Xenopus tropicalis: one gene and its partner. The protein of the gene in region 1 purifies or fractionates together with the protein of each later gene. This does not show direct contact. Links are inferred from orthologs where the notes say so. Each region holds a gene or a part of one and is shown on either strand. Other genes may lie near its edges.

Region 1 (11,030 bases):
CAGGGGCAGTGCCAGTTAGTAGGGTACCAGTACCAGGGGCAGTGCCAGTTAGTAGGGTACCAGTACCAGGGACAGTGCCAGTTAGTAGGGTACCAGGGACAGTGCCAGTTAGTAGGGTACCAGTACCAGGGACAGTGCCAGTTAGTAGGGTACCAGTACCAGGGACAGTGCCAGTTAGTAGGGTATCAGTACCAGGGACAGTGCCAGTTAGTAGGGTACCAGTACCAGGGACAGTGCCAGTTAGTAGGGTACCAGTACCAGGGACAGTGCCAGTTAGTAGGGTACCAGTACCAGGGACAGTGCCAGTTAGTAGGGTACCAGTACCAGGGACAGTACCAGTTAGTAGGGTACCAGTACCAGGGACAGTGCCAGTTAGTAGGGTACCAGTACCAGGGACAGTGCCAGTTAGTAGGGTACCAGTACCAGGGACAGTGCCAGTTAGTAGGGTACCAGTACCAGGGACAGTACCAGTTAGTAGGGTACCAGTACCAGGGACAGTGCCAGTTAGTAGGGTACCAGTACCAGGGACAGTGCCAGTTAGTAGGGTACCAGTACCAGGGACAGTGCCAGTTAGTAGGGTACCAGTACCAGTTAGTAGGGTACCAGTACCAGGGACAGTGCCAGTTAGTAGGGTACCAGTACCAGGGACAGTACCAGTTAGTAGGGTACCAGTACCAGGGACAGTACCAGTTAGTAGGGTACCAGTACCAGGGACAGTACCAGTTAGTAGGGTACCAGGGACAGTACCAGTTAGTTGGGTACCAGTACCAGGGGCAGTGCCAGTTAGTAGGGTACCAGTACCAGGGACAGTACCAGTTAGTAGGGTACCAGTACCAGGGACAGTACCAGTTAGTAGGGTACCAGGGACAGTGCCAGTTAGTAGGGTACCAGTACCAGGGACAGTGCCAGTTAGTTGGGGTACCAGTACCAGGGACAGTGCCAGTTAGTAGGGTACCAGTACCAGGGACAGTGCCAGTTAGTAGGGTACCAGTACCAGGGACAGTGCCAGTTAGTAGGGTACCAGTACCAGGGACAGTGCCAGTTAGTAGGGTACCAGTACCAGGGACAGTGCCAGTTAGTAGGGTACCAGTACCAGGGACAGTGCCAGTTAGTTGGGTACCAGTACCAGGGACAGTGCCAGTTAGTAGGGTACCAGTACCAGGGACAGTGCCAGTTAGTAGGGTACCAGTACCAGGGACAGTACCAGTTAGTAGGGTACCAGTACCAGGGACAGTACCAGTTAGTAGGGTACCAGTACCAGGGACAGTACCAGTTAGTAGGGTACCAGTACCAGGGACAGTACCAGTTAGTAGGGTACCAGTACCAGGGACAGTGCCAGTTAGTAGGGTACCAGTACCAGGGGCAGTACCAGTTAGTAGGGTACCAGTACCAGGGACAGTACCAGTTAGTAGGGTACCAGTACCAGGGACAGTGCCAGTTAGTAGGGTACCAGTACCAGGGGCAGTACCAGTTAGTAGGGTACCAGTACCAGGGACAGTACCAGTTAGTAGGGTACCAGTACCAGGTGCAGTACCAGTTAGTAGGGTACCAGTACCAGGGACAGTACCAGTTAGTAGGGTACCAATACCAGGGACAGTACCAGGGGCCCCACAGGCACCAAACTGAGTATCTGTATTGTACTATGTAATCAGTATGGCAGCGCTGCCCACAGTGCCTTTTGAGCCCTGAGCCAATCAGATTTCAGCTCTTAGCTCAAAACCTGGTTGGCTGATGACCCCAATCAGTACATTCCCCCATAAGCCCCTGTGTGACCCAGGATGGGCCACTATTCTACTGGGATCCAAGTCATTAGCCCAGGGCTGCTGTATGTGGGAACTGGCACTCAGTTATATATATATATATCAGTTATAATAACTGCACCAGTCGCCCTAGCAACGCAAAGATCTCATAAAAACCAAACCAACTGCAAATAGAGAGCCGGTCTCTCCGTACGGCCCCCAGCCGCCCCCTGCTGGCAACAAGGGGAACTATTCTGGAAGGAAAAATCATAATCATCATAATGCGGGATTCCAAGTGTCTTACATGTATTAAATGTGTCTTTTTGGGGGGTTCCAGACCCCGATTGTTATAGTTAATAGTTTTCCACAGCTTGGCAGGGGTAGGCAAATGCTTACAGACACGCTTTTTCCAAACAGTTTGGATTTACACAATATTTTTTATTTACTTATAACTAAAATGCCTCTAATATCGCCATCTAGTGGCTAGCAAAATACTTACATATAACTACGAGATATAAATAAAATATCTACATATAACTAAACTACGTAGTATGTCTCCATCTAGTGGCCAATAAAATATCTACATATAATTAAAATACGTACTGTGTCGCCCTCTAGTGGCCAAAACAATATCCGCATAGGAGCTAATGGGGCATTTTTACTTTGCAAGTTATACAGTAAAGGAACAGTGTGAGTCCAACTCATAGCCCCCTGTGAAGCCGGTCAGGGAGGCTTAGGGACCCCTTACTGAGTCAGTGGGCCAGTTACTGGGAAGGTAAAGGCTTCTACCCCACCTTGTACTGGGGACCCCAAGTAATATTCCTTCCCCATATTCCAAATATATATGAGGAGAGTGCAATGTTCAGTTGCAGGGCAGTTCTTTGAACCCTGTGGGGCAGGTAAGTGTCCTTTATGCTGTAAATACTGAGTCCCACTGCTCCTTTGGGCTGCAGATTAAAGGGCAAGTGTAGCAGAATAATATTGAATTGCTGAGCCGGTAGGTGTCTCCCCACAGCCTGCTGCTGAAGCGCAATAAGTTTCTCTATCACTACAAGAACCTGCGCTGGGCCCGGGGCCGCCATGAGACCTACCTGTGCTACATAGTGAAGCGGAGATACAGCTCAGTCTCCTGCGCGTTGGACTTCGGGTACCTGCGGAACCGTAACGGCTGCCACGCGGAGATGCTCTTCCTGCGGTACCTGTCCGTCTGGGTGGGACACGACCCCCACAGGGCGTACCGAGTCACTTGGTTCAGCTCCTGGAGCCCCTGCTACGACTGTGCCAAGCGCACCCTGGAGTTCTTAAAGGGACACCCCAACTTCAGCCTGCGGATCTTCAGCGCCAGGCTCTATTTCTGCGAAGAGCGCAACGCGGAGCCGGAGGGGCTGCGGAAACTGCAGAAAGCGGGGGTGCGGCTGGCTGTCATGAGCTACAAGGGTAAGTGGGGGGGGCACTGGCTGTTGTCTCAGGTCAAATCAGACCCTAATGGCGATCAGAAAAGCAAAAAGTATCTGCACACTCAGAAAAAGTAAATACAAAAAAAGTTTTATTAATTACAAAATCATATCATAAGAAAACAAAGCCCAACGCGTTTCAACCCAATAAAGGGTCTTCATCAGGGGAAAAAAATTTAAAAAAGGGGCATGCAGGCAATTTTTTTGCCCCCGATGATGACCCTTTATTGGGTTGAAACGCGTTGGGTTTTGTTTTCTTATGATATGATTTTGTAATTAATAAAACTTTTTTTGTATTTACTTTTTCTGAGTGTGCAGATACTTTTTGCTTTTGTGATTATTTTTGGGGTTACTGAGTGGGTTTTCTCCAGTGTCTTTGCACCTCTATTATTTATGACAAGGTGAGCACTCCGGCATTTTGTAACCCTAACGGGGATCAGAGCTGCCCCCTAATGGCGGTGGGACCCAATACAACGCTGTAATCCAACCCAATAAACTATATTTTATAGCCTCCAGTATCTAAGCTGGGGCTCATTTATGAAAACTGGGCAAGTTTGCCCATGGCCAGTAACCCATAGCAACCAATCAGTGATTGTCTTTTTTCAGCCAGCTGCAGGTAGAGCCAGGGTCGGACTGGGCCAGTGGGGTACTGGGAAAAAACCTGGTGGGCCCCGGCAGCCTAGAACTGATCCCTGCTGGGTTCTCCCGGGCCCGCAGGTCCCCCTCTCCCAACTTACCTAAGTATAAGCACTTGGGGGAGAGGGTTGGGTGGGCAGCAGGGGTGGGGGGAGGCACGGTGGGGGTCCCTTGGGGGGGTGGGGCCCTGCACCCCCCAGTCCGACCCTGGGTAGAGCAATGAATGCAAGAATTTGGTTGCCGTGGGTTACTGCCCATTGCCGAATGGCCTAATGAGGCCTAATGCTTCTCCCAATAGTCACGCAAAGGTTGCTGGGAGTTGTAGGGATAAACGCCATTTCCCTCTCCCTTTGCCTCCGTGTAACAGATTATTTCTACTGCTGGAACACCTTTGTGGAGAGCCGGGAGCGGCGCTTTGAAGCTTGGGACGGACTGCACGAGAACTCGGTCCGACTGGCGCGGAAACTCCGGCGCATATTGCAGGTAACGCAGGGGGGGCCCATATAGATATATCTAATATAATGTAAATATATCTAATATAAAGCACAAGGAATCATGGGAAAGGAACAGGGGTACAATGGTGGATCCCCTGGGTGCTGGGGGCCCTGAAGCTATAAGGAGCCCTATGAGCGCTATATATATATATGTATATTATATATATTCCCTAAGTGTAATGGGGCCCTACAGGGATTTAGCTGGGGGCCCAGGAGCTACAAGGGATCAAACTAAAAGGAAACCAGTTTCATTCATTCCTCTCCCCTTCGTTTGGGTGGAATTCAGTATAATTTGGTAAAGGCCACACTTTCTATTGCAGCCGCCGTACGACATGGAGGATCTACGGGACGTGTTTGAGCTCCTTGGGCTCTGAAGGTTCCGGTCCCAGACGCCACGAGAGCCAATCAGACTCACCCAGGGTCCCGCTGTTTATTCCCTGTTCTACCCTTACGGGTTCCCTGGGTCGGTACCGGTCCGACTGTACATTTGCCCCACAAACTGTATATAATCCCTTGTGTGTATTTGTGCCGTTGGCGCAGGATTTGTACATTTTTATTTGCGCCACTTAGTCTGACGCTTTAGGGTTCCAGCTAATATGGCGGCCAAGTTCCAATTCCGCCCTTGGCTCCTGTCATTCCTGGGAATGGAACCCCCCCCCTGACTAGCAGTTTTCAGCCTAGAAACACTAAAATGTGCATTTTGGGCAAAGTGCCTGCCCCAAGCTGTGATGGGAGGGTTCCTTTTATATTAATGCCAGGAGAAATGGGGGGTATCAGGTGGGGGCCATAAGCCATACAGGTAGTCAAACAGGTAGCCATACAGATAGCCGTACAGGTAGCCGTACAGATAGCCGTACAGATAGCCGTACAGGTAGCCATACAGATAGATATACAGGTAGCCATACAGATAGCCATACAGATAGATATACAGATAGCCATACAGGTAGCCGTACAGATAGCCGTACTGGTGGCCATACAGGTGGCCGTACAGGTAGCCATACAGGTAGCCATACAGGTAGCCATACAGATGGCCATACAGGTAGCTATACAGGTAGCCATACAGATAGCCATACAGGTAGCCATACAGGTAGCATATATGTATGTATTATTTATGTGTTCATATTACAATACAGTAACAGTAGGGAAATACAGCAATCAGTAAATCTATAGCGTTCCAAGGGTTAAGTGGCACGGGCTGAGAGACGCAGGGGGTTCTGGGAAGCCCGGGGAGGCGCAAGTGGAACTGCACGGTGGGTCATTAAGGGGTTAAACTTTTGCACCTCTGCCCTTAGTAAATGAGCCCCTGATAACCCAGTGCATGCCCATTGGAGCAGAGCTCTGTAACGTCCCATTTCTCCATTCAGAGCACAGACTGTGAGCATTAACCCCTACCCCACCCAAGAGTCCGTTCTTGTGTCATTGTCCCCATCCCAGAAGCAGTCCCTGTCAGTATGTGTTTATATAATCAGTACCGGCCCGGTACCCTGAGCCCAAACACCCCCCGGGGGCTCTATGGATGGGGGGGTTGGGGAATGATACTGATATGACTGGGCTGCACAGAGGGATGTTGCTAATAAAGACATTTAATACAAGGTAAAGGAGTGTTTGTATGTTTATGGCAGACTCGGTACCATGGGAATTGGGGCACAGAACTCTGTGGGACTTTATTTAGCCGGTGCTGCAGGCCCACGTCTGACACCCTAAGGGGCTCTGGGGTGTTTGTGCCCACACTTGGGGGTACAGAGGGGCAAATGGATCTCAAGAGAATCACACAATTGCCCAGCAGGTCTGGGGTGCCTGGGGCAGTGCACTGGGGGGCACTGGGATACATCTATCTATTTATCATCATTTATCTATTGATCTATCATTTATCTGTCATTCTATCTACCTATCATCTATATATCTGTCTATTTATCTATCTATCATTTATCTGACTATCTATCTATCAATCATCTATCTATCTATCTATCTATCTATCTATCTATCTGTCTGTCTGTCTATCTATCTATCTATCTATCTATCTATCTATCTATCTATCTATCTATCTGTCTGTATATCTATTTATCATCATTTATCTATTGATCTATCTATCATTTATCTGTCAGTATCTATCAATCTATCTATCATTGATCAATCAATCAATCATTATCTGTCTGTATATCCATTTATCATCTATCTATCTATCATCTATTTATCTATCTATCATCTATCTAGCTATCTATTATCTATCTATCTATCTATCTATCAATCATCTATCTATCATCTATCTATCTATCTATAATCTATCTATCATCTTTCTATCTATCTGTCTATCTATTATATACCTATCTATCTATTATCTATCTATCTATCATCTATATATATCTGTTTGTCTATCTATCTATCTATCTATCATCTATCTATATATTATCTCTCTATCTATCTATCTATCTATCTATCATCATCTATCTATCTATCTTTCTATCTATCTATCTATCATCTATCTATATATTATCTATCTATCTATCATCTATCTATCATCTATCTATATATTATCTATCTATCTATCTATCTATCTATCATCTATCTATATATTATCTCTCTCTCTATATCTATCTATCTATATATCTATCTATCCATCTATCTATCTATCTATTATCTATCTATCTGTATGTAACATTACAGTGGGTACAAGATCAGAGCACATACAGAAACCAAATAATAATAAAAAAAATGAAAAGTTCATCTTTTTTCAATTATTGTTTTAAATAAAGTTTTATTTTTCCAACATAAAAGGGGGGGAGCACAAACAGAGGAAGCGACTGGAATGGAATGGAATAATGGAATGGGAATAGCTGTGACAGTAAATTGTGAGACAGTAAATTGTGCTAAAGGCAATGATGTCCCTCTGTTGTTGCTATTTATTATTATTAATATTATTATTTATAAAATATAAAATTATATTTAGAAAAAAACTATATTATAAAAATTCCCTTTATTATAAAAAAAAATCCATCTTTATTATTAAAAATCTGTGCTGTCCCATAGCAGCTCTTTAGTTGGAATCACTCAGGGGCCCTGAGCCTGACAGTCTAGTTCTGCGCTCACTCTCTGACTTAGTGATACTGCTCAGCCGCTGCCCTATCAACAGTCTCACAGAGAGGTCTCATATACTAGCAATGAAGGCTGTCGGGGGTCTCTGGAGTGTGGGGGACACCACGTGTCACTGTGCTGCATTGCCCATGGAACTAGACTGGGCTACTAGGCCATGCCATGAAGAGCCTGAAGATGTTCATCGTTCCACAACGGCACCGTCCCCTGATGGTTCCTAAATCCCACTGCTAATAGTCAGACACATACAAACTCTCCTGGCCCTCAGAATGTCAGCTGATGCACATAAATATACTAATATTCTTCTGATTGGGGGGGGGGTCTTGTTCTTTTTGTGACAATTCTGAAGGCCACAACCCTTGCAAACATGGCAACATCAGAGACTGGGGGAGGTGGCAGTCGATTACCATCGGCCCCCTTATACTTTTTCATCTAAAGTTTTCATGCCTGTCATCTGCACACTGTCGCTTTTTGTTCTAGACCTCTCTGGCATCTCAAATTCCTGGGCAATGTCCTCAAATGTGCGGCCTCTGGTCTCAGGGACCTTGAAGAACGTGTAGATGAAGAACAAGATGAGCAGAACCATAAAGATGAGGAAGACGTAGGGACCACATCCTTTCTGTGAAGGTGGAAAGGCGATATGTTAGGAATTTGAGCATAGAACAAAAGATAAAAAAGAAGATGATAAAGAGTGACTTGAAAACTGAGAAAGCAGACCCCGGAGTTCTCCCCTATGAAGAACAGGAGGAATAGACCTCCCCACCTTCCTTCCCAAAACCCTTTTGTCTCACTTACTGCCGCATAGGGGAATAACATTCCCACAAGGAAATTTGCAGTCCAGTTAGAGCAGCCGGATATGGCCATTGCTGCCGGCCTGGGACCCTGACTGAAGAGCTCCGCCACAATGAACCAAGGAATGGGCCCAGGGCCGATTTCAAAGAGGGCTACGAAGCAATAGATTGCCACAATGCTCACATAGCTCCAGGCCTGGTCTTGTTCCTATAAGAGAGTAAGTTGTTAAATAAGGGATTCTGAGTGATGTGGGAGAAGATATAAGGAGCGAAGGTTGAAGAAGGTTGAGAAGTAGGAGGCACAGAGTATGTGACAAATAGGAAGACAGATGCTGAGTGATGTATGGGGTGGAAAGCTTGGTGGGGTAGGAGGCAGCGGGGAGAGGCCATAGAATAGTAGTAGAACAGTTGGAGAGTAGGTGCAGAGCCAAGAGTAAATGCAGCTGAGCAGTAATGCAGGGACAACAAATGATGAGAAGTGCGGGAAAGAAGCTGCAAAGGGAAAATAAGTGAAGGGAAATGGAAGTAGAATAAGGCCACAATGCACGGCAGGACTGTCTATTGTCTATGCCACCGGCCATTCTTATCTGTGATACTGATACTGCTAAGTTTTTTTCGTGCTAAAACTCCCAATATTCAAATTCCCATTCACAAACTCAAAAACTGATAAATAAGCCCCCCGGCCTTTGTACAAGAGCAGCCAAGGGGGGTTTGGCTGTGAAGCCCATTACATACATGGAGGGCTCATTTATGAATGGAATGCACAAAGCGGGCCCAGAGCCACCTCAATGCGCAGCCAGCACCCCCCGATTATAACTGCAGCCCCCCTGCTTATGTGAAGGGGTTGGTAACTTGCATCCAGGCAAAGGCCCACCCATAAATAAGCCTCTTTCTGACACAATGACCAAACGTTACAAAGAAGCAGAAACAGAAGGCATGGGGGGAGCCTGGACTCTTACCTTAAGCTTGAGAGCAATGGTCATGATTAAGGCACCAACAGCCATTCCACCAAGGCCAGTAAGCTGGAGAGTCCGGCGGCCGGCGCGTTCCACAATTAATAGCTAAAGGGAAACAGCAACGTTAGCAACAACCAATGAGTCGCTTACTGGACAGAATAACCCTAATTGCTGCCTTGGTTTTAATTTTACATGGATTTCTACTCTACAATACTCTGATAAAGAGTTCTGATTGTCAGTACTTCCTGCACGCTGCTCTCTTTCCCATGGTTTTCCTACTGCAGCTAGAACAGACCTCCACCAGCCCGACCCCAAGAGCCTTCCTAATCCCTGCCCACAGGCATACAAGCATGGGGAAACCTTCCAACTTCCCATTCACTCTAGATTCTAGAGTATTCTAGAGAATTCCTTGTGCTTCCTCTCCCTGGGGCATGAGTCTAGGCCAAGCCCATAGCTGTAAAAGCACTTTTTAGAGTGGCCTCGATGCACACTCAACTTTGCAGCCAATCTAGAGCTTTGCATTTGTTCTTGTGTTTGTAAATGAGCCCTATATTCCATTTGGCGCTCTCAGTTACCTTCCCAACCCACACAGAGCCATGATACATTAATGCACGTTTTCATAAATACTCACCGACACAACAGTAAACACCGTGTTGACCACCCCTGCACCAATGGTGGCATAAACAGGGTTCGGAACGCCCGCATCCTCAAATATACTGGTGGAGTAATAGAATACCTGTAGAAAGAGAAGCAGGAGGTTGGATGAGAAGGAACAGAGGGTTGGAAAAGAAATGGAGAAAGCAGAAGAACATGGATATGGAATGACAAGAGAATCCTCTACAAACCGACATAAGCACTGGGTTCGCTTAAGGCAGGGATCCCCAACCAGTGGCTCAGGGCAACATGTTGCTCCCCAACCCCTTGGATGTTGCTCTCAGTGCCCCCAAACCAGGGAGTTATGTTTGAATTCCTGACTTGGGGGCAAGTTTTGGCTGAATAAAAACAAGATTTCCTACCAAATAAAGCCCCTGTAAGCTGATAGGGTGCATAGAGGCCCCTAATAGCCAATCACAGCCCTTATTTGGCTCCTCCATGAACTTTTATGGTGCTTGTGTTGCTCTCCAAGTCTTTTTACATTTGACTGTGGCTCACAAGGAAGAAAGGTTGGGGGACCCCTGGCTTACGGTATACGGTAATCTATGTAGGTTTTATTATTTTTTTCATGTTCTGTTATACATTGATGTGGCTGGTGAGGGAAGTATGAATAATACAACATCATTGTTATTAGGTAATAGCAATTATTAGGAACACAGGTTGGTTATTTAGTCCTTTAACCCTCTTTTTGTGGGTTCCAGGGTAGTATGAATGGTACAAGTTGACTATCGGCTTTGGAACTTCATAGGGTTCCCTGTATGTTATGAATAAGGAAATCTACATGTAGCATAGTGCTCATCCTTTTATAGCCTTTAGTGTTCAAACTCGTACAGGTTGGACACCCCTGAGGGGAGACCCATTTGTAGTTGCACCCATAGGAACATAACCTAGGTAGGTGAAACCTGATCATGGGAAAGAGCAGCCCCAGAAGCTGAAAGTACAGCGAATGAGAGATCAGTACCGGGGTGAGTACTTGGAGAAGACTGGATTCACTTACCCAGGGGTAATGGACCCAGGTTACTTTATCAGTTATTTTGCAGTCTAATAACAATTATAGTTACAATTACAGTAGAAGGGTAAGAAGGAAGAGAGAATTGGAATGCAGAGAGGGCATCTAACAAAGGATACTTGGGGTATAATAGAATGTTCATAGGGGTTTATAGTTACGTACAGCATTGATCCCAGACAGTTGCTGAGAAAGTTGGAGGATGATGGC
Region 2 (12,068 bases), on another chromosome or scaffold:
TGTTGCTGCTCAGCATCAGACAGGAGCAAAGTGCATCAAAAAGATTCTCCATCATCTCCTGCTCTTCTGCTGTTCCTGGATCATGGCGCTTAAAAACCTGTCCCAAAAACATGTTAGGGATATGCATGTGTGATCAACATGGGCTATTCCTCCAGTTTGAACAGATCAACTTATCTAACAAGATTTGGATTCCTCAGTTTGGCCAGCAGTCAGATTTTGTTCCAGCAGTACAGTCTAAATCGGCAGATTTGTATACTGTATCATAACTGTTAACAATATAATTCCATTAGGCTGTAATGCGGGACCAAGGTACTGTTAGGGTTATGGAATGGAGCTGGTCACTAAATTTTAAGCAATAGTTTGCCTTCCAATCACAGGCATGCAATGGTTACTTCCCCAACCTAAAGCTAAAGCTAATAATGAGGGTTTCTACCCTAAATAAATGAAAGAGATAATAGTAAGGGGCACATTTATCAAAATGTGAGTTTAGAGCTTAATACATAAAAACTAACCCATGTTCTATTCATTCGTGTGGGACTTTTAGAAGTGTATTTATCAAGGGGTGAAAGTTAGAACTCACCATTTAATAAATACATTTCTAAAAAACCCACAGGAATGAATAGAACATGGGTGAGTTTTTATGTATTAAGCTCTACTCATATTTTAATAAATCTGCCCATAAGAGTTAAAGCAATCTATTTTGTTTCTTAAAAAATTTTCAAAGATAAGTAAACTGTTGCTTGGTAGCTGCAGAGCAGCAGTGATAAGTTGAAGTGACAGCACTAATATAAATGGCAGAGAAAAGGGAGATGAAGTCACTGGAATTCAGGGTCAGTAAAGCGGAAGGTGTGACAGTGACAGGCAGTGGGTGTACATTGACATTCTCTAGTAAGAGCTGAGACAGCAGTCTGCCATTGTGCTCTCTGAGTAATGCCAAGGTGTAAGAGCAGGCAGGGGCGGGAGGCACTCACCGACAACTGCTGAAGCAGCACATCTATTCCGTCCAGCTCCCCCAGTAGCTCCCGAGTGTCTGAGAGAGAGAGGGGGACAATGTCAGAGAAGAACAGATCCATCAGCAGAGGGAATCAATACACAGTGATGGGGTGGGGGGAAGAGGCACACAGTAGAGGATAAAAGAAGAGAGCAAGCATCATGGAAGCTATGCAGTGTCAGAGAAACTGGATTGTACAAAGATAAATATGAGAGATCACTGGCAGATAAAAGGTAAAAAAGGAGCTTGGCTGTAGAAATGAACCCTTGTATAAAAATTAATGGGAATATTCCTCTTCCTTAGATGCATCATGTTCTGTTGAAACAGAAAAAATTCTGTGCCCTTTTACACAGCGGTGCTTGAAAGAGTGTGAACCCTTTTGAATTTCCAATATTTCTGCATAGACATGGCCTACGAAAGGACCCTTTTTTTATGTCCTTAAATCAGATAATGGGAGTTGCTACTAAATACCATTGGTAATGCGTATTGCCCTGGAGGAACTGCAGCCCATTTCTCTGTACAGAACAGCTTCAACACATAGATGTTACTGGGCTTCAGCTCCTTCCACAACATTTCTATAGGATTAAGGTCAGGACTACGAAACGAACTTTAACCATTTTTTGCTAGATCAACATCTATGCCCATATTAGGAGCAGAACCGCTCACTTGGCGACTATGGCTACCTTAATTTACCCTTCAAATGAACTGAGAATCCTAGAGGGTTACTTACCTTTTTATCATACACAAATGTCACTTTGAAGTGTAATGTCTTTTACCTGTTTAATTGGATTCTTATTATATAGTTTTAGTACTGGCCAAGTCAAAATCCTGACCTTAATCCTGGAGAAATGTTGTGTAAGGACCTCAATGTTGATGTGCAGGACTGACCAACAGTTTCTGGAAGTGTTTAGTGGCAGTTAACTTAAACTGGGATCACAAACTTTAGGTGTACCCAAGGGTGTGTGTATAATATATTTTTCTGAAAAAAAATGTATAGGAAATCAGAAAAAAATAAGAAAGGGGAGGTTAGCAGCTCAACTCACCATCGTTGTTCTGTAAAAGAATGGCCAGGATCTCACTGCAGTACAGCTTGTTGGCATCAAACGGCATCTTGGCCTAAAGGGGAAAAAATTAACATCAGGAGGAGGATGCAAAATCAACACCCGAGAGGTAAAGTAAGAATGAAAAATTCCCACAGAATCTAATTCAAGCAAAATACCGAGGGAGGCAATAAGAAACGCATGCATGTATAACAGTGGTATTAGAAAGCAACAAAGGGTGGAAGTGAACCCCCACCACCAATCAAAAAGGAGAGGGCACATGCCGCCTCCACTGGGAAAGGAAATGGAAGCACCACCATCCCAATACTGGAGTAGGGTGGGACCATTAGACAAAAGCATCAGCATCATGTTAACCAACCTTCAGTCTTTTGAGCAGCCAATGGAGGAGTCCCTGCTGTGCAGCGTCTGAGCATATTTCAGGGCGAAACTCCGTCATATTCTCAATGATTGCTATGATAAGAAATGGGAAATGTGAGTATATGCTCAATCACACTCTCAAAGATGGCGGCATTGAACATTTGACCAAAATCATGGTTCAGGTACTTGTATGAATGTCTTTACCTAGGGTATTGTGAACTCCATCTGCCTCCTCCTTCGTAGATTCATCCAGGCGTTCCAGATTCTGCACCAGGAGAGCAACGACTTGACCTTCCAACTGAATAAAAGGAAAAAAAGAAAAAGAATAAGGCTGTGGGCAAAGTGCAAGTAGGAAGAACAGAGAAATCAAGGCCACAAAGAAACAGCTGTAAGATTTACACGTGTCAATGAAATCCTAGGTGAATCCAACAGTAGAAAAGTTCAGTGTATTTTTATTATGGGCCTATAAGGGGTCATTCACTTTTACGTTAAGTTTTAGTAGGTTATAAAATGACTTAATCCTTTCAATTGGTCTTTTTTTTGTTTGTTTTTTAATTATTTGCCGCCTTCTGCCTGTTTTTAGCTTTCAAATGGGGGTCACTAACCCCCACAGTCAAAAACCTTTTCTCTGTGATGCTACAATTTTAATATTACATTTTATTAGTCATCCTTCTTTCAGACTTACTCCTATTCATATTCCAGTCTCTCATTTATATCACTGCCTGGTTGTTAGGGTCTTTTTGACCCTATAGCTGCTGAAATTCTAAACTGGAGAGCTGCAACATAAAAGCTAAATCATTTTTTTTTCTAAAAAAAAATAAAAATCATAAGTTAGGGGTCAACAACCCCTTTAATTAGTGCACTTTTGTTTGAATTTCCTTCAAAGAGAACAGCTAGAGCCAATGAAGTGGCTATATGGGCCTCTTTGGAACATGCAGAAAGCACATATGAAACAAATAATGAGACGTATCGATCCCAGTACTAATTACATCATTTATAGCCCACTTAAAGCAGCATTTGGAGGATCAGGTCAGCTCCCCAGGAGATAATAATTTAGAGTTGGATCTTACACTTCATTGCTCGAGTGTATTTCCAATCTTCTATATGTCTGACATTCACATTAAATTGATTAGGAAGAATTCATTACAGTGACTGCCCTCATTGGCAGACCTCCTATTCTACTAGTAGCGTAGGCTACTGGATAGATTTTTTTTTCTTTATCTGCCCTTTTCCCAGCAAAAAAATAATTTGGATAATGATTTAGACATATCGTGTTAATGTTGTCGGAATACATAGTTTAGTTAATAATGCCAGATCCTGGAGCAGTTGCATTTTTTTCATTTTTGCTTAATTAAAATAATATACAAATACAACACAGATTTTCAACACACTAAACTCTTGTTAAAGGGGAGTCACCTCTCCTCCCACCAACACAGGTGTGTTAGTCTACTGTCTTTTCATGCACTTTTCAAACCACTGAAAGAGGGAAACACATACAAAGCCATACTATGACACAAACAGCCAACTAAACCACACCAGACCTGGACCACAAACTGGTGGTTTGCCTATAGCCAATTCTCAGAAGTGCATGCTGAAATAGATGTTTCTCCTTCCATAAGCCAATTCTATTAGTTGCCCCCTTAGGGTAGTAGCAGCTACTTTTTCACGGCTAAACTCCAAAAAAATAGCCTGCCATAGACAATACTGAGAATTGCCTCTGCTAAAACACATGTTGAGACTGTTATCAGTAAATGATCAGCATTGTCTATATTTTAGTAGCCACTACTAGTAGCTGCATATGTCTTCACACTTTAATAGTAGCCAATTATGATTACCTGACATATTCCCTTCTTTCTGGCTTCTGGACAAACAAGGATAAGGAGAAAGGAAAGATCTAAATGTGTTACCTACCAGTGCATCTATAAGGACCTGGGCACCCTCTTCGCTCTCATGAAGTGTGTCAATATCCGTTAGTTCCTGCAGCAGGTCAACCACAGCAATGCACACATGTGGCAGGCTAAGGAAGTATTAATACAGTTGTGCGAACACCAGAATAAGGGAAAAATATACAAGCACATACACACGTAAGATCTATCCCCCCCATGCACCAATAAGCTCCACAATTGACAGTGACAAACACAACCAAAGTTACCTGCTTTATAGACATATAAAAGGATATCAGTGTTCTCATGGCTTAACAAGCCAAGCAGTGACTGCACAGCATTGAGCTCCACAAGTAGATGGTACAGATCTGGTATAGTGGCAATAACATGCATCTCCTGGATAATATCATTCAGGTCTAGTTCTGACTCCATGAACCTAAAAATTTTTAAAAAAAAAGCAGAAAAAAAGTTTGCATTTTCATTGTGCAAGATAGGTGGGAGACTCTCAACATCATATTAAAAAATGGAGGCAAAGAAACTAAAATGCAGACACGCCCAGGGTACAGGCAAAGCAATGAAACGCCATAATGACCCATAGTTCTCTTTCTTTTCTAAGTCACTGTAGGCATGGGAAGAATTGTAGTGTATAGGAAACCAGGATACATGCCAAGTTTATTGTAAATAAAGTGGCACAATCGTGGGTCACAGGCAAGTGTCCGTGGTTTATATTTATATATCAGGGTACGTACAATGCCTCAAGTTATAGTTGTCATGCCATGAGATGTATTTCAATAAAAGCTGGAGGCTGCAGGTTGGATTATATACAATGGACAACATATACAGGATACAAGCAATGTACTGCAGTTCTAGAACTTACTTCTCAGGGTTGTCTGGGAATTTGATACGTAGTTCTTGGTTCTTGTAGGATCTCTTTTCGAAATTCAGGATCATCCTTTTCACTGCACCCTCATCCAGTGTTTCATTCTGTGTCAACAATAGGGGACAAATTAATAGCGACCTAACAGGTGTCTGTTGGTAAACACCCAGGCAAAGACCCATTTGAAACATATAAGACCAGCATAGTGCCACAGCTGGCAATAAAACCAAGCCAATCAATAGGCTCTAAAGGACTACTATAAACAGAAATATAATAGATTATGAAAAGTATCCAGACAACTGGCTGTTCCAAACATTATATTGTCGGGATACTTGTAGCCCATGGAGGAAGTCCAGTTATGTCCATGTGTTACCAAACCTAGCTGCTGCTTTGCACAAGGCATGCATGACATGAAGTCATAAATTTTGCAGATTACCAGGACTTTAGATACATTAATCAGCAGTGGCACAAACTTTCCAATTAAGCAGACAAATTAAACTGCAAGAGTTTTCTCACCTCTTCCTCATCATCACCATCATCCAATGCGTTCCTATCCTCCTCTGCAGTTGGCCCCCGTTCCTCATCTCGGTGCCAGTTCCTCCCTCCTCTTTCTTTTCTCGGTGGTCTCAAGTCTTCCGGTTCATCATCTCGCCCTCGTTTTGTGCCTCTGTCCGGCTAGAAAGAGAAAACAAGGCAATACTATAGATATGTATATAGTGGAAAGAGTAAGTGACATCATGAATCCTTCAGCTGGTAAGTGGGTTGAACTAGGAAAATACAAGAGCCTCTTGTTTGCTTATATTATTAGGTTGCCAAATAAACACATCCTTGCAGGATTGGATTGGGTGCTGGGGGGGGGGGGGAGCCTGGACACACTGGGCAATTTATCACTTCGACTTTTTAAAAAGTATTTTGCAGCGACTAACCCACCACAGATTTCTATATAAGTCGATGCGACTAATTGCACATCATTTGCGCTGCACGGATTAGACGCTGCAACTTTTTTTTTTTCATCCTAAGTGGCCCAACAACTTTGAGGCCACTTTTTTCTTACTAGGAAGAGCTCTTTAGGCCTTATCACTCCTGATTAGGCAAAGCAAGGCAGTATCTGGCCAAGCTCTGCTTACAATGGGCTCCTGTTCTTGCAATAAGTCTTGTGAATAGGGCTGTGGAGACAATATATAAATCCTTCTACTCCAACTCCTCAACTTATGGGCACCTCCAACTTCAATTCTGTGTACCCAAAACAGTGGCAGTACCCAGACAGAACTAGAAGGGCTTTAGAGTCCCTACATAAATCCTTTGACTCCTCAGTTTAGGGTACTACCGACTCCAGGTAACCAAAATTGCTTCCCACACCAGATCCTGCTTGTAAAAGTACTACCCTGCAATCATTTATTTAGAATCTCACAAGAGAAAGCATGATAAGACTGTACTTAGACAGCCATGGGACTAGCAGGAAAAACAATTCTGTCTTGGATACAGAATTGCATGCAAAATTAAATAGCTGCAGTCAGGCCCATTGTGAAAATTGGTCTCTCTGCTCCATTTCAGAGCACAAGTGCTGCTAAATGATCACTTTGGGGTACCTGCACTTGCACCCCCAGGGGTCAAGAATGCCCCTGTCAATTACACCTGTGTGCAGGTTTAGTTTTTTCTGACTTAAGGTCCCCATACACCTTAAGATCCGCTCGCTTGGCGATGTCACCAAGCAAGCAGATCTTCTCCCGATATCCCCATCTACGGGTGGGTGATATCGGGAAAATCCAGGTTTGGGCCAAACAATCGAATTATAACTACGGGTATAGGCAAAGCCGGTTCGGGGACCGCCTCAATGAGCTGATGCGGTCCCTGATCCAACTAGATTTTTAAACCTGCCCGATAGAGATCTGGCCAATTTCAGGCCAGATATTGGTCGGGCAGGCCTGTCGGTAGTGCCCATACACGGGCCGATTAGCTGCTGAATCAGTCTAAGGGACCGATATTGGCAGCTATAATCGGCCACCTTTAGAGCAAAGACACACGGAGCTACTAGTAGCAGCTTCTTTTTCACGGCTACTAAACTCTAGAAAATCCCCTGCCATAGACAATACAGAGAATTGCCTCTGCACACGTAGGAGCAATTATCGTTAAATGATCAGCATTGTCTATTTTAGTAACCATGACAATCAGCTGCTACTAGTAGCTCTGTGTGTCTTCACCCTTATTCTCTAAGTGGCCACCCCAGCCAGTTGTGTACCTGCGGGTTACCTACACGGTTGGGACATGACGTAGATCCCAGACGGGTTGCGACTGCTTTGCGGATATCCCGCCGGTACCCAGCCCATACAGGAGCAGACTCCATGGTTCCCCTGCATCAATAGATGAAACTGAGCGTATCTAGCACAGGAGGCAGGAAGGACTGCGCAGCGCTGATCATAACCATAGGCAAGTGCAAAAAGCACAAATCTGATGATGCAAGTTTCTCTAATAAATGGGATATTTGGTGCAGGCCTCAGCACCCCTATTAACTCATTGATTATCTTAGCACCCAGAAAAGACTTTGTCTATTCACTCAGCATAGCACTGACCCAGGATACAGGCAGCACAGTGTAAGACATTCTCTTTTCTGCCTCTATATAAATCTAAGTGTTACGTCTTGTTTTAAATCGCACGTCCATACACATTGCGCTGCACTACATACACATTGCGCTAGCGTTAGTAAAACCCTCGCAGGACGCGGTAGTCCTGGAACAGCTGCGGGTAACTGCGCTACAGACTAGGTAACGCTACAGAGGGGACACAAGCGGATTATCCTGTTTGCGAGCTCACCTGGTACCGCAACAACTCCCCCACATCCATCTCAGCCGCTTGCCTTCTCAGCAGCACAGCGCACTTGCCGTAAAGTTCCTCGCCGCCGGAAACCCAGCGACGCACTTCCGGGTTGAAGCGCTGCCTACTTGCAGCACTGCCCTAAAGTGATGTGGCGCTTATTAATGTGTTACTATAGTGCTCAGCTTACTCTTTTGTCAGTCAAGTTCAGTCATATAATAAAAAAAGATCGCAGTTGAGGTTTAGTAACATTCCTGCAGAGCCAGAATGTTGTTTATAATTCTTGTTGTCTCCCCACTATACTGATAAATGTAATTCTGAGGCAAGAACTAACCCCAAACCTAGTACTGGGCCCTGGGCATAAGTACAAAAGCATTAAGGGGTGTTAAAGTGTGCCCCATACTGTTGCCAATGTCATTAAAGAGTTAATTCACCTTTGAGTTAACTTTTAGTAAGATGCAGTGTGTGGTATTCTGAGACAATCTACAATTGGTCTTAATTTTTTATTAGCTTTATTTTCCCGCAGCTCTTGGGGCTCTGGCACATGGGGAGATTAGTCGCCCACGACAAAACTCCCTGTTCCCGGGCGACTAATCTCCCTGAGTTGCCCTCAGTTGCCATCCCACCGGCGAAAATGTAAGTCGCCGGTGGGATGGCACACGCGGCGGCGCGATTTCGGCAAATTGCCGAAGTTGCCTCGCGAGGCTTTTTTGTCGATTTGCCGAAATCGTGCCGCCGCGTGTGCCATCCCACAGTTTGGAATTTCAGCAGTTATCTGGTTGCTTGAGACAGTTATCTGGTTGCTTGAGACAGTTATCTGGTTGCTTGAGACAGTTATCTGGTTGAGAGAGTGAATAGAAAGATAAGTTATAAAAAGAAACAATAACAAACAATACAGCCTCAAAGAACAAATGTTTTTTGGCTGCCGGGGTCAGTGACCCCCATTTGAAATCTGGAAAGAGTGAGAAGCAGAAGGCAAATAATTCAAAAACTATAGTTGCTTAGAATTGGCCATTCTATAACATATTAAAAGTTAAAAAGGTGAACTACCCCTTTAATAGGGAAAAAACATTAAAATATAGGACGGCAGGTATTTTTTTTCCCGAAAATGGGGCAAACCATTTGTGGTCAGGCTGCCACAGGTTGAGTGCAGAGTCTAACAGGCTAAAGACAGCTCTGTGCTTACTACCCGTCAAAGTGCCTATGGTATCTATAGGGGGGCCCAGAAAATTTTGTTGTGAGGGGCCCCGTTATTTCTGATGGTGGCTCTGTTAATCAATACAGCACTGTATTTATGGGGAACACAGGTCTCTCCAGTCTTCTGTGGAAAATACATGCCTATTGCAATATTTTAAAGGGTAGAAAGAGCAGTAAACATGGCAGATTGCTCCCTGTTTTGCATGTTGTGTACTTGATAACTTCCCAGAGTGGATTACCCCAAACCCAGGGACTGCACAGGGAGATTACATATAGTTGGCAACTATGCTGATAGATCCAAGAAATTGCCCCTGGCACCCAATCACTGGCACCCATGTCAATGAATGGATCAGTCCAGTTTGGCTCAGCATTGTTGGCTGCTACTACACTTGTGGAAGCGACACAGCCATTGCAAATATTATTGAGACATTAGTTGTCTGGCATTGCTTTACATAGCAACCATCCACTGGACTGAGACCCCAAACAGGCCCTGGTATTTGCAGTAGAGAGGCCCAAACAGCTCCCCATCAGCCCAATAAATAGTGTTTATGGGATCTTATAGCAGCCCCTCTGGAATTTGCCGAAACCATAGAGGCGGAGGCTTTCTACTGAGCCAAACTCATGAATAACAACAAGGGCATTTGTGCATTAATAGATAGAATTACTGTCAAGAAATAAATAGAGTAAATTATAGAAGCAGCATAAAACCAGGAATTACATTAAGGGTGAAGACACACAGAGCTACTAGTAGCAACTACTTGTCATGGCTACAAAAACAAGCAATGCTGATCATTTACTGCTAATTGTCTCTACATGTGTTTTGGAGGCAATTCTCAGTAATGTCTATGGCAGGGTATTTTCTGGTGTTTAGTAGCTGTGACAAGTAGCTGCTACTGAGTAGCTCCGTGTGTCTTTACCCTAAGGGCAGTGGCACTTGGGGAGATTAGCCACCCGATAAATCTTTGCTATTGCATTGCTTCAGTTTCAGTCGCCCCTGAAGTTGCCCCTAAAGGGGTTGTTGCACCATTGACTTTAGCTTTTAGTATGAGGTAGAGAGATAGACAATTTTTAATTGGTACCATGTAAAAATAAAAGTGGACCTGGCGAAACCTACACCACTGTCTGATTGAGCCCCTTCACTGAGGTTTACACTTTGTGGCACACGGGTTGTATTTTCTTTTGTCACAATTTGTAATTGGTCTTCAGTTTTATTTGTAGTTTTTTACAGGGTCAGATTGGGGTGGGGGGGCTTAAGGAAAAAACCCAGTGGGTCCCAACCCTTGTGGGCTATACTCCCTCTGCTAACTGCAGGTGCCCCCCATTGCAAGGAGGAATTGCAGTATACCATGAGGGAGGGGGTTTCCTGGGGTGGTGGACTCCCAGACAGCCGTTCCGGTGAGCCCTGGACACTCAGTCTGACTCTGGTTTTTTTTATTATTTCGGTTTTGTTTCAGCTGCTATCTGGTTGCTAGTGTCCAACCTACCTTAGCAACCAGGAAATCAAAAGGAACTCAAAAAAGATGTCTGTAGTAGCTCAAAATATTTGAGGTAAAAACAAAAAGTTTATTGAAACTTACACATAATGCTTACAAAGCCTTACGCGTTTCGTACCCAAGGGTACTTAGTCATAGGTTACCTTAGCAACCAGGTAGAGGTTTGAATAAGGGCCTGAAATCTGAATAGGAGAAGAACTGGCTAGAAAAATAAGTAAGAAAAAGTAACAATAACAATACAAATGGAGCCTCACAGAGAAATTGGAACACTGAAAAGTTGCTTAGAATTGGCCATTCTATAACATACTAAAATGTTTACTTGAAGATGAACCACCCCTTAAATGTTTTGGCTCCTCTCTGTTTCAAACATCGACCCAGTGTCGGACTGGGATGCCAGGGGCCCACCAGAAAACCCTAGACCATGGGCCACTCGCCAAACTACTGTCATCCATTTCTTACTCAGTCTCAATACTTTACTAGTTTTTTTTATCTTTACATACTGTAATGTATTCTATATATTTAGTTGCTTTGTTCCCATAGAAAAATAAGAAATGACCATGAATTAGGCCAAATGGCTAAAAGCAGGAGGGCCTACTGACACCTGGGCCCAATGGGAATTTTGCTGGTATCCCGGTGGGCCAGTCCAACACTCATCTTAACTGAGTGCAAAAATGAGCTGTTGCAATGACTTAAAATGGTGATAAGAGTATCTACAGGCAATCGTTATTTGGAGCAAATCAAAAGCTACATAATAGGTGTGTAGCTACTCAAATGTGGCTATACATGTTAACATCCATTTGTTTGGCAAGGTCACCAAACAAGCGGATCATCTACCATTTTAACCACCAAAGATGGGCTATTTCAGCTAATTCAGCTGATTCGATTGTTTGGCTCTAGGGCAGTGATCCCCAACCAGTGGCTCGGGGGCAACATGTTGCTCCCCAACCCCTTGGATGTTGCTCTCAGTGCCCCCAAACCAGGAAGCTATTTTTGAATTCCTGACTTGGGGGCAAGTTTTGGTTGAATAAAAACAAGATTTACTCCCAAATAAAGCCCCTGTAAGCTGATAGTGTGCATAGAAGCCCCGAATAGCCAATCTTAGCCCTTATTTGGCACCTCCATGAACTTTTATGGTGCTGTTGCTCTCTAAGTCTTTATACATTTGACTGTGGCTCACCAGTAACAAAAGGTTGGGTTACTGCTCTAGGGCAATGACGGGTATAGGAGCCATAAGACAGGTTCAATGAGCCAACATGGATCCTGATCTGATGGGAAAATCAAACCTGCCCAATTTTTGAACAGATATAATTTGGGGGGGCCCATACACAGGTAGATAAGCTGCTGAATTGATCTAAAGGACTCAAAATGGCAGTCTAAATCTGCTCGTTTATGGCCACC

Evidence for each region.
Region 2: the proteins of aicda (region 1) and ctnnbl1 purify together in Homo sapiens (affinity purification with western blotting; 3 studies listed by BioGRID, with this or other methods). This does not show direct contact. The link is inferred for Xenopus tropicalis from reciprocal best matches to the Homo sapiens genes AICDA and CTNNBL1.

What each region holds. Positions count from the first base shown.
Region 1 is NC_030683.2:9,023,967-9,034,996, forward strand, and holds the end of aicda (single-stranded DNA cytosine deaminase), read left to right. Parts: intron 1-2,754; coding exon 2,755-3,176; intron 3,177-4,196; coding exon 4,197-4,312; intron 4,313-4,643; coding exon 4,644-4,697; 3' UTR 4,698-6,111; downstream 6,112-11,030. Other genes in the region: slc2a3 (solute carrier family 2, facilitated glucose transporter member 3), read right to left, coding at 7,832-8,032, 8,209-8,412, 9,164-9,265, 9,792-9,896, 10,986-11,030. UniProt on the Homo sapiens protein: Single-stranded DNA-specific cytidine deaminase. Involved in somatic hypermutation (SHM), gene conversion, and class-switch recombination (CSR) in B-lymphocytes by deaminating C to U during transcription of Ig-variable (V) and Ig-switch (S) region DNA.
Region 2 is NC_030686.2:39,419,516-39,431,583, forward strand, and holds the start of ctnnbl1 (beta-catenin-like protein 1), read right to left. Parts: upstream 7,529-12,068; 5' UTR 7,514-7,528; coding exon 7,424-7,513; intron 5,845-7,423; coding exon 5,686-5,844; intron 5,277-5,685; coding exon 5,170-5,276; intron 4,729-5,169; coding exon 4,589-4,728; intron 4,419-4,588; coding exon 4,321-4,418; intron 2,708-4,320; coding exon 2,614-2,707; intron 2,503-2,613; coding exon 2,411-2,502; intron 2,108-2,410; coding exon 2,035-2,107; intron 1,031-2,034; coding exon 972-1,030; intron 98-971; coding exon 1-97. UniProt on the Homo sapiens protein: Component of the PRP19-CDC5L complex that forms an integral part of the spliceosome and is required for activating pre-mRNA splicing.